3 linked regions of the Sus scrofa genome follow. The protein of the gene in region 3 binds, or shares a complex with, the protein of the main gene of each other region. Links are inferred from orthologs where the notes say so. Each region holds a gene or a part of one and is shown on either strand. Other genes may lie near its edges.

What was found.
Region 1: STRN4 (region 3) and STK24 share a complex: the UniProt entries of both Homo sapiens proteins name them as parts of the core of STRIPAK complex. The link is inferred for Sus scrofa from reciprocal best matches to the Homo sapiens genes STRN4 and STK24.
Region 2: STRN4 (region 3) and STK26 share a complex: the UniProt entries of both Homo sapiens proteins name them as parts of the core of STRIPAK complex. The link is inferred for Sus scrofa from reciprocal best matches to the Homo sapiens genes STRN4 and STK26.

Annotation. Positions count from the first base shown.
Region 1 is NC_010453.5:67,563,007-67,566,749, forward strand, and holds the start of STK24 (serine/threonine-protein kinase 24), read right to left. Parts: upstream 2,637-3,743; 5' UTR 2,225-2,636; coding exon 2,183-2,224; intron 1-2,182. UniProt on the Homo sapiens protein: Serine/threonine-protein kinase that acts on both serine and threonine residues and promotes apoptosis in response to stress stimuli and caspase activation.
Region 2 is NC_010461.5:108,178,242-108,181,984, reverse strand, and holds the start of STK26 (serine/threonine-protein kinase 26), read right to left. Parts: upstream 2,756-3,743; 5' UTR 2,677-2,755; intron 2,575-2,676; 5' UTR 2,466-2,574; coding exon 2,424-2,465; intron 1-2,423. UniProt on the Homo sapiens protein: Serine/threonine-protein kinase that acts as a mediator of cell growth. Modulates apoptosis. In association with STK24 negatively regulates Golgi reorientation in polarized cell migration upon RHO activation.
Region 3 is NC_010448.4:52,614,359-52,618,001, forward strand, and holds part of STRN4 (striatin-4), read right to left. Parts: intron 3,508-3,643; coding exon 3,429-3,507; intron 1,598-3,428; coding exon 1,400-1,597; intron 1-1,399. UniProt on the Homo sapiens protein: Calmodulin-binding scaffolding protein which is the center of the striatin-interacting phosphatase and kinase (STRIPAK) complexes.

The sequences.
Region 1 (3,743 bases), on a different chromosome or scaffold from region 3:
CAGGAGCAGCCGCTGGTTCAAAGTAGAAACTCAATGTGCCTGTTGTTTTCCTTTTGAAGTTTAAGGGAGGGAGAGGAAAGGAATGTTCCTCCCCCAAGGGCACCAAAACCCATCACCTTACAGTGTGTGCAGACACTTCTAAACACAGGGCGAACTCGGTCAGACGCCACCTTCGCGCCCCTAAAACTCTAACAGCCGAAAATCTGGTTCTTTCATCCACATAAAAACTTAACAGCTTTTCTGAGAAAGCAAAATAAAAACAGTTCCCTGGTAACGCTACCTAGGAAATAACATTTGGGAGACAGAGTTATTTAAAGCAAGGTACCTCCTTTTTTTCCCCCAGATTTAAGAATGTGGGCCCATGCTTTGAAAACAAGATGAGGACCAAAAAAGTGTTTAAGACCACAGACCACCTGGTGACCATCTGATGCTGGCTTCAGGGCACCAGCCAGCTGGGCCTTAAGTTCCTTTTTAAACTGGTTCGCTTTCCACAAAAGCCGAACACCCCCCAGGTACTTTGAGTGAGGCGTGCGAGCTAGATTACAACCTGATTAACAGCCTAAGAGTCAGTCTAAAGAAAGCATTGAGCAAATGCTTTTTTTTTTTTTTTTTTTTTAATGTTACAAGAGGTCCTTCTTGCTCTGCTGGTCAGAAATAATTTTTCACCCAGTTCAGTTTGCCTTCCTGCCTCTAAATTCAAACCAACAAAAGCAGGAATTTTAGGAAATACCAAGAAACCACATCCGATTTTTACCTAGCAGTCAGTAGAAGCTTAGGTGGTAAATGCACGTTGCATTGAAAAATTCTTTAAATCAGAGTCAAGGACAGTTTTCCTCAAGCACAGTCAGGTTATTAACGTAAACTGTTACTCCATTTAAAAAAAAAAAAAACAAAACTCTAAAATGCTGGTAACTTTGTGCCCTTATTTTTCTAGCCAGCAATCGCGAACAATGAAATCGAGTTTTCTTTTTCTGGTTTAAGAGAGAGAAAGAGCAATGATCTCTCGCCAAAAGGGGGGCAGATTCCCAGGTCCTATGGAGTCCAGGTACTAACTTCTCAGGCCTCAAGAGTGAGGGGGAGAGAGGAAAACGAGCCCGTAGAAAGTCTCAAGATAAATAATCCGCTGGGAGACTTGTGGCTGTTTCCTTAAAGCTGGTGTGTCCCAACTCGCTTGGCTAAACCGGGAATGCAAAACTTTACCCACATACCCTAACCGTATAGTGAGATTTTAATCCCAACCATTCTCCCACCATTTATATGCCCTTACAAACATTACAAACTGGCCAAGGACGGGGGTTTTATTTTTCAAAGAGTTTTTAAACAGTCCCCCATGGCGAAAAACTTGCACGCAGTCCTGTAAATTGGAAATGCAACTTCTCTCCCCGCCCCCACCCCCCGCACCCCTGCCCCCACTCCAAAAAAAGTCACTGGAAGGCCAAGGAGCCACCAAGTAGCATCGGAGAGGTTTACTGGGAAGGGACTGGGCTGCATCCAAGGCAAAGCCCAGCGTGCCGGGATCCACCCTCGAGGGCACGGGGTTCGAAGGATCCCTTCTTCCGGAAGGTTTACGGGCTCGCACTTTCCCCTCCGTCGGCACCAGGAGGAAACGCGCCGAACAAACGCGCTGGAAGTGGAGCTGGCAGTTACACCTTCCTCCACCCCGCCCTGCCTCCGCCGCCCCGCGGGCCCCGGACCAGTCGGGGCGCGCCCGGGGCTCCCCTCCCGCCTCTCAACTTTACTGCCCCCTCGCCGGGGCGGCCCGGGGCCTCCAGCGCCCGCCGCCCGCGCCGGGGCCCAGAGAGCGAGCCGGGCCTCCAAGGGCATTTCCCCACATCACTTCTCCCCGGGGATGGGCCGGCGCGGGGCCTGCGGCTCGGGAGGCGCCGGGGGCAGAGGACGCGGGCAGGGCGAAGCGCCGGCACCCCCACGGCCCCCTCGACCCCCTGCCCGCCGGGGCCGCCTCCAGGCCGCGGCCCCAGCTCCCTGCACCCTTCCGCCCCCGAGACCCAGGCCGCGGGGCCGCTCGGGGCGCCCCGGGGGCTGCGAGCGCGGCGCGGGAGGCCGGCGCGACCCCGGAAGGGGCAGCGGAGGGGGAGGGGGCCGTGTTTACACCGCCAAGTTCCCCGCTTCCGCCCCGGCCCGGGCATCCCTCGCTGCCCTCGGCAGCCGGGTTCCTGCCTACCTGCATGCCGGGCAGGCCCGACTGCACCGGGGAGTGAGCCATGGCGGTCAGGACAGCCACTTCCTGGGACGGGACGGCCGGGCCGCGGCGATCCGCGCGGGCGACGAGGCCCGCGGGCCGCGCGCAGCCCTCGGGCGGCGGGGGCGGCCGGCCAAGCCCGAGTCCGGCTTCGGTGGGCCGGCCGGAGCCCGAGGCCACCCCAGCCCCCGCGGGTCCCGGGCCGCGCGGCGGGCTCAGGGGCCGGCGGCGGGCCGCGTCTCCATGCACCGCGCCGGGGAGGGGCTGCCAGGGGCGCGGGGCCTCGCCGCGAGCTGCTTCCGCTCCTGCCGCCGCCGCTGCCGCTTCGGCGGCTGCTGCTGCCTCTCGGCTGGGAGCCGGCGGCCTGGGCCCGTGCGCTGGCCGCCTGGAGCCGGAGTGGGCGCGCACAGCCGGCCGAGCCTGCGAGCGCCGAGCGCGCCCCGCCCCGGCCCGGCCCCCGCGCCCGCCCCCGCGGCCCGGCCGGGGACCCCGCCCCGCGCTTCCGGGAGGGGGAGGAGGAGGCTGGCGGCCGCCGGGCGCCCTAGGCCGCAGCCGCCTGCGCTGCCGCCGGCCCGGGCGGGTGGGGGTCCGCGCGTCTCCCGCGGGCTGCGCCCCCCTCCCAGCCGGCGGGGCGGAGCTGGGAAGAGGGCGCGCGGGCGGGAGTGGGGAGGGGGACACAATCGAAGGCGGTCCCGGGGCGACCGCCCCCAGGCCCCGGCCAGTCGGGCGCCCCGGGGGACTGGGCGGCCAGGGCTCGCTGAGTGCCAACTCTTGCCAGACCATCTCCCTCCTGCCCTCCGCGCGAGCCCACCCCTCCCCGCCTGGCCCCGGGGAAGCGGGCTCCCGGCGACCTCTCCGGGGGCAGAGTCGGGGCCAGGGGGACCTCGAGAGGGAGCGTGCCCAGCGGGGCCTCAGCCAGTGGCCGGTTCAAAACTACCAGGGCGGAGCTTCTTGGTGTCTGGGTGAAGTTTCCAACCAACCCAAGGAGGAAAGCGGGAGGGGAGAGGCCGAGAGTAGTTAATTCCGCGTTTTGGCGACTTGAAAACACCCTGCTTGGAATACTAGGAGCTGTAAACTTAGCTGAGGAGTGGGGGGCTGAACCCCACCCTCTCTGGGCCCCGGAGAATATGCAAATTTAAGAATATGTAAATTACAATAGGGGATCGTCTGCCCCCGAGAAGGGGAAAGTGGGGGAGGGAGGGGGAGGAGGAAGGGACACAATGAAAGGAAACCCTGTCTAGACTTTCCCCTGGCCTTCTCCCGCTCTTTCCGCTGCCTCCACCTTTTAGACACCTCTCCTCCAACTACAGAGGAAAGAAATAAGAAGGAATGAATCAGTGCTGCCTCCAGAAAGTAGTATTTTATTTACAACGACAAACAGTGGCAGCCACTGCAGTGATGTGCCGTATCCCCGGTTGTGAGGACCGGTGAATGCCCACGTGGCACCGCGGGCGAGGTTGGACAAACAAAAATGAGCCCCCACGAGTTCACAGACTATTGGAAAAAACTAAAAAGTCCTCCCCCTGAAAAAAGGATTGTTTAT
Region 2 (3,743 bases), on a different chromosome or scaffold from region 3:
GACCACTTCGCCCTGATCTGTGGAAATACTATACATTAATTTCAAGCACACATGGCTACGTTCAGTTTTCTTACTACTGGAACGGTCTGAAAGTTGCTCCTAACTTGCTAACAAAACTCCAGGAGAATTTTACAAGCTCATCATATATTTCTGCATCTCATCTGCAATCTTTTTCAACAAAAGAATAGTCAACGTGATCAAGGCTCAAGAGTCACACTGCATGCCATCAAATTTATTTTTAGGGTACTCCACAATTTTAACTGTGGAAAACTTTTTGGGTTGCACCCAATGCTTAAGAACCACATCTACAAAGAAAATGGAAATCAGATGTTACGAATTTACCATTTCATTAAGACAGGGAAAGTGACAAATAAATATTCCTCTCTTTTCCTGCTAATATCCAGATGCCTGCCCTCCCCAAATCAGGGTGGACACAGGAGTCACAACGTGGGGCAAGGCATCAAGTGACAGGCAGAATTCGTAATTTAAAAATATGTGATTCACATTCTAAACCACCTTAATTAAGGGTGCAAAATTCAGCTGATAGGGACCTCAAGATAATGAAACAAAGCAGGGAGCCGAAAGAAATACTGAGCAGCAAGCAGTTCCTAAACCATATAAATCAAATGAGGACAAATCAAATAAGGACCAGAAACCATAGAAATCAAATAAAGTCAAGACAAATGAAATAAAGACCAGAAACCGTTTTCTCCCCCGCACACCAGAGTTCCCCAGGATCACAAACTTGATCAAAGGGAGGCCCTCGCTCTGCTGACGCAGGCAGCGCGTGCACACAATGGCCTGAGCAGGCACGGGGACCCTCAGGGACAAACCTGACATCCGTAAAGTTCACAGAATGGAAAGGAGAGCATGGTGGGAAAACGTTCGAACTTTCTCCCACATGAGACAGAGCAAAACTGTAGTTAGTCCTGCAAACTACTAATTCTCTGGGTACAATCAAAGGCAGACTGAATGAATGGGGTGAGGGGCTGGGGGTGGGGGGGGAGAGGGAGGGAAGGGGGGGTGGCCTGAGAAGAAGGAAGTTTGAGGCGTTTGGTAAAACTTGAATGGATTAACCTTTTCAAAGGCCCCAATAGTTCTCATTTCCCTTCTTCTTCCTCTCTCTCTCTCTTATTTATTTTTTGTTTTTATTAAATACACACCGACTTCCTGGGACTCAACCCAGACGTGCCCTATATTCAGCTAAAAGGCCTGGTGCCTAGACACACAGGAGTCCCAGGCTAGATCTATGTCCGACACAAATGGTCCTTTGGGGGGGGGAGAGAAAGTATTTTAAAAAGCACTTTTTGGACCATGCATAAAATGCGACCAATTGTTTTTTTTTTTTTTAAAAAGATACATTCCTTGCATCAATTGGTAATTTGAGGCCCCAATCCACAGCACTTTGATTTCTACTAGAACCATAAGCTATTTACCAAACATTCTTTTCTGAACTTGGAAAAAGGTTGTCCTCACATTTTTAGAAGATAATGAGGCTGTCGATGCTAGTCTCCGACCGATTCATAAACGGGTTGTTTATGAAAAAAAAGAAAATTCGAATGCGTAAAAGTAAGCTTGGATTACATTTAGCAGAGAGCTTGAAATGCACCGATTTAAAAAGATAAAATAGCGTGAAAAGCGTACGGACATCGCTGACTTCTTTAATAAAGTGAAAATATAAGGGGAGGCTGGGTAGCTCTCGAGTGAAAAGTTGGGTCCCCTGCCCTGTCTAGGACAAAAAGTTTCCTTTAACCACACTGTAACAGTCGTGCTGTGGGAACCGCAGAGGGAGGGAGCGGGGGAGTCATCACCTCCGCTCTGCTAACAGAGGACCCTGCATTTCTCACGCCACACGAGGGGCTGGGCCAGGTGGGGGGAGCGAGATACAACTTAAGCAGCAGCACCAAAAGGGGAAAAGAAGTCACCTCTCTTCGCCCTACGCACACAGGAAGAGCCTAATTCAAAGCCGCCACCACCGACACCCCTGGTCTTGCTCCGCCCCAACTCGTGTGTTTGTGTGTGTGTGTATGTCCGGGGGGGGGGGGCAGCACGACCTGCGTTTTATGCCCAAATTCCGAGACGCCTCCATCTCTCCCACGTGAAGTCCTCCCACCTCCGACCCCCAAGCGCATCACGCTCAGCCAGCGCAGGTGTCCGGCTCCGGCCTATTTTTATAGCCCCCCGCCGCATCCCCACCTCGCCGCGCGCCCCGGTCCCTCCGCGCGCGCCTGCCCCGCGCAGTGCACCACCTAGCTTGCGCGCCGGGAAACACTTAGACCCTCTTTCCCCGTCACCTGGCCGGAGCGACCGGCCCGGCTTCGAGGCAGCCCTGGGCCGCCTGTCCTCGCCGGTGCCCAGCGTGGAGTGCACCCTGGGCTCCCGGGCAGTCACGTGGACGGCGGGGGAGGCCCGGGCGTCCTCACCTGCATCCCCGGCACTTGGACCGCCACCGGTGAGTGGGCCATGAAGGCGAAAGCTGCTCCGCGCGGCTTCGGCGGCGGTGGCGCCTTGGGCTCCGACTGGCTCCTCCTCCGGGGGTAGGTCGGCGGCCCTCCCAGGCTTTTCGACCCGGGCCTGGAAGGACACACACAAGTGGGGTTACGGGGCGGGTAGCGCGCGCGGCCCGGGGCTGGGAGGTGGGCGGTCCGCGGCGCGGCTCCCCGGGACTCAGTCTACCTTTCTGGTGCCCGCCCGCCGCTGTGGCCGCCGCCTCCGCTGCCGCTCCTCTTCCTGAACGCCGGGCGCCGTGTGTGGCGGTGGCCGGGACCTGGGCTCGAGTGATGCCGCTCGTCTGCGCCTCGCCGCTTTAGGAAGAGGAGGTGGAGGCGCCCCAGCCACCCGCTCGCTGGCCGGGCCCGGGAGGCGGTTGGGGGCGGTTCCGCCGCTGGCCCTGCCCCCGCCCCGCTGCCGGGCGGTGTCAGGAGAGCTAGGGCTCCGCGCTGGGAAGGGGCTCGGCTGGGGTTGCTGGAGCCTGAGCCGAGGGAGACTCTCCCGGCCGGCGGAGAGGAGAAGCCGGGCACGGAGGGGCCTGGAACATTGGTCGGCCTGGAGAGAGAAAGGAAGAGTTCGGGTGACCCTTGGGGTACGAGGGCGTCCCGGACGCGGCCACGTTGCAGGCGGGCGTGCGAGGGCTGGGGCGCACGCCGCCTCGGAGAAGTCCTGAGTTGAAACTTGGCGAGTGTTGGAAGTCCTTCCGGACTCTCCGATCTGCTCGAGGCCGGGGGGTGCAGAGAGCCGCCGAGTCGCTGGACCCCAGCTCTTAACCCGAGGTCTGGGCTCCCCAGTTTGGGGCCGCGCCTCTGGGCGGGTCGGTAGCCACCCTCCGGCTTTCCGGGTTCCCCGCCCCCAGACAAGCTTCAGGTGACTTAGAAGTGAGGCTTCCCCTACCTTTTGGGCTCTCGGTTGGACAGGGGTGCGAGGCTGTGGGAGAGGGCGACCAGGCCTGGGCACAAGGTCAGTTCTGCACGTGTAAGAGAGAGGGAAATTGGAAAACAGGTGGTACATGGGCAGAGAAATGAATGAGGGTAATAGAGGCATGTGAAACGAGTTTGGGTCCTTAGCAGTACGTAGTATTATTGAACTCAGTGCTTTTGGCAGCCCCCTGCCTCCATCCCACTTGACGTGCCAGTCCAGCAGGGAGACAAGCTCTTTTGCGAATACCCGAGCAACAACAACAATAATAATAATAGCAATTAAGTAACCTCATTATGAAGGCACCTTTGGGAACCCACAAGGGGTTGTCA
Region 3 (3,643 bases):
GGGCAGACAGGAGGGCAGAGTTCAAAGTTGAGATATGTGCAAACATTGTCCTTTTTGGCCACTGGGCTGAGGCTCTCGAGAGTCCTTGTCAACTGCCCAGGTGTCTGGCTGCCACTGGGTGGAGCTCGCCCCTCCAGGAGATCCAAGTGTGGATCCCAGATCCTGCGCTCCCTTCCCGGCCTCCGGCAGAACGTCATGCCTGGGCCGCCTCCCGCACGGCTGCCGGGGCCTCCTCGTGTGTGGGAGACCCCTGGGCTCAGCGCTCAGACCTCCCTGCGCCAGCTACACCTGGCCTCGGTGACTGCCAAGCCCCGGGCTTTTAAACCCACCACTGCAGGTGCACTAGAGGCGCTTTAGGAGTTAGGGGCTCCCCACCCCCAGCACTGGGGTCAAACAGGCACCTCGAACTCCACGGCCCTTGATCCCCCCTCGTTCTCTCCTTCTCGGTCAACACTGCCCCAGCGGCTCAGACCACACCCTTTAACTTTTTTTTCCTCTCCCCCAACAGCCAATCCTTGAAATAGTGTCGGCTCACCCTAAAAACCTACCCCAAAGAGAAAGCAGACCGCTCCTCCCCCTGCCCCGCTAACGCCTGAGTCTCCGCCGGGCCCTCCAGCAGCCCCTCCTTCTCGAAGCACAGGACAAGCACACGACGTAGTAGTAGTACGGGTATCAGATGATGTCACACCCCTGCTTGAAACCACGGGCTTCCCACAAGCCTAGACTCTCAGCTCCACATCGTGGCCTTGAGGCCCTACATGCTCTGCCTCCTGAGATTTCAGCCCTGCTGCAGACCACAGCGCTCACTCCCTGCAGCCTCGGCCAGCTCTGAACAGGCCAGGTCTTTTCCACCTGGGAGCTTTAAATTTGCCGTTCCCTCTGCCTAGAACACTCTTCTTTCTCCCAGCTACCTGGGCGGCTGAGCCTCAGTTCCATGCACTTCCTGCCCAAACAGCACCTCCAAGAAGAGGTGCTCCCTGCTCACCCTCTCCCAAGTGCCATGACTGCCCGTCACTTTCTCACTGCCTTTCACACGGCACCTCGCGTCACCACCCTGAAGGTGTTTACTTTGATCAGGCGATTAGTGATGAGAGAGTGAACAAGTGCTCCTAGGGCTCTGTGGCCCGGGGTCTCCCTCAGCAGGGGCTCCGGGGGGGCCAGGGAGCACCAGCCTGAGGCTCAGGAGGGGATGGGCCTGGAGCTGTGGTGCACACCAGCACCAGGGCGGCACCGGGGAAGGGGTGGTGCAGGGGACCCAGGACAGAAGGTTCTGGAACAAAGAAGCCCACGACACCCTCCAGGAAGGAAGTGGCTCCCAGAGCACTGTTGACCTTCTGACCCCAACCCATCAGGAGGGAGAAGGCGCACACGGATGCACCCACCAGGCCCAAGGGCTCACCTCTTGATCTGCTCCTCGATCTGTTTCACCAGCAGCGACTCACCGCCACTGAGTCCCCCAGGGCCCGGTGTAGTCCTGAGGCCCCCTTCACTGGGCTCCACGGCCCCGTTGAGCTCCAACGAACGGCCCAGGAGGGACCGCACGCGCTTGGACCGCATGTCCAGGATGGTGTCTGTGTAGCCCACCTCTTCCAGGTACCTGCAGGGAGGCGGAGCCAGGGCAGGTCAAGGGACCTCCTGGCTTCTTTACATACTCTGGGGGCCGATGCAAACTGGGACGGCCCTCTTGGAGAAACAATTTAAGACGCCACACCGAGATTTCAAATAAGCATACCCCTGATCCTGCTGCTTCCCTTCTGAGACTGTTTCCAGGGGAAGCCTTTATACAGAGGCACCGTGCCGTCACAGGCGCTCAGAGAGCCCAGACGCAGGGGCCAAGCTACACGTCCACCTGTGGAAGCGAGCGACTGATGGATACTATGTGCCAAAGAAAGAGGCCCATGGTAAACGGCTTCGCAGGATAAGTTACATGTTCCTTAGAACTCAAGTGTTTATTAAAAAAAAAAAAAAAAAAAAATTTACGGAAAAAAAGAGGAGTTCCCGTCCTGGCTCAGTAGTTAAGGAACCTGACTAGCATCCATAGGACACGGGTTCGATCCCTGGCCCTGCTCAGTGGGTTAAGGATCCGGTGTTGCCATGAGCTGCAGTGTAGGTTGCAAATGAGGCTTGGATCCCACGTTGTTGTGGCTCTAGTGTAGGCCGGCAGCTATAGCTCCAATTAGACCCCTGGGAACCTCCATATGCTGTGGGTGCAGCCCTAAAAAGACAAAAAACCCAAAACAACAAGAACAACAACAAAACCTGAAGCCATTTGGTAAATTGGTCCAAAAACTTAAAAAAAAAAAAAAAAAAATCAATTTTGGGTATCTGTGGCTTCAAAAGACTGGCAGACAAGAGTCCCATGCTGGTCCTCAGGAGGCGCCTACAGAGCCCTCTCCGTCGACCCTGACTCTGTCCCTGTGGGAACATCAGACAGCCCCCGCCTTCGCCTGCCGTCTCCTCTCCAGGGCCTGTGTGGAGTCCCAGGCGGAGGGGCAGGGAAGCGGGCTGGGGAGGGACCGCCTGAGATCACACTGCAGACCCTCTCTGCGACCTTAAGCAAACAGATACCCTCTCTGCACCTGCTTTTGTCATCTGTGAATACAAGGGGAATGCTAGCAGTCAGGTCACACGGAGATTTATGCGAGGAATCCATGTGTGCGAAATGTTTAGCACGTGCCAGGCACCATAACAGGTACCTGGCAAGCGTCCCTGTGATAATCATTCTGTTGTCACCATTTGCACACACCTTAAGCTTGCAATTGAACTCACAGATATTTAGCTTAAGGAAATCAAGGAGATGGACACGTAATTTTCTGGTATTTGTCACAATGTCTATTAAAAACATCTTCAACAAAATAGATCAGAAGCGATGGCCACAGGAAATTATGACTATCCACGTGACAAACTATGATAAATGTCTTGAAATGATGTGACACAACTAATTTACATGGAAAGATGTTCACAACACTTAGCAAAAGCAACACATTACAGAACATTGCGAAGGAGAAACCCTCGCTTCTCTAAAACACACACACAGGCACAAATACATATCACAGCAGAAGAGACAGCATATGTGCCAAAATGTTTCCAGGGGCATGAAACTCCTTGGGGGGTGGAATTACGAGTGACTTTTATCTTTGTGTTTCCCAAATTTTCTAAAACATCCAATAAAAAACAATTTTAACATTACCCTCAGAGGAAAAAAGGCACAGAGGCACTCGGGGTCTCCTTCCAAAGTGCCTGCCTCCTGCAGGAAGTCCTCCCTTGCTCCTTCCCAGGGAGAGGGAGGGGGACGGGCCATCGCGCTGTAGCCGGCAGGGATCCTGATAGCTCAGGGTCCCCAGTGGAAACAGGAAGGACGGTGGCGTCCTCGGGCTTATCTCCCGAGCTAAACATGCCTCCCCCACCCCGTCCCTCCACACACTCACTGTCGGAGAAGCTGCCGCCCCTCCTTCCACACCAGCGGGCTGTTCTCCAGGGTGACCGACTCCACGGGGCCATTGGAGACTGGAGGGCAGAGAGAAAAGAGGCAGGCCTTCTCAGGCAGGGCTCTGCCATGCCCTGCCACCTCCTCCCCCTCCCAAACCCCAACACATCAGTCACCGTCACCATCACAGTTCCAAGGGAGTCATGTCCTGAGAGC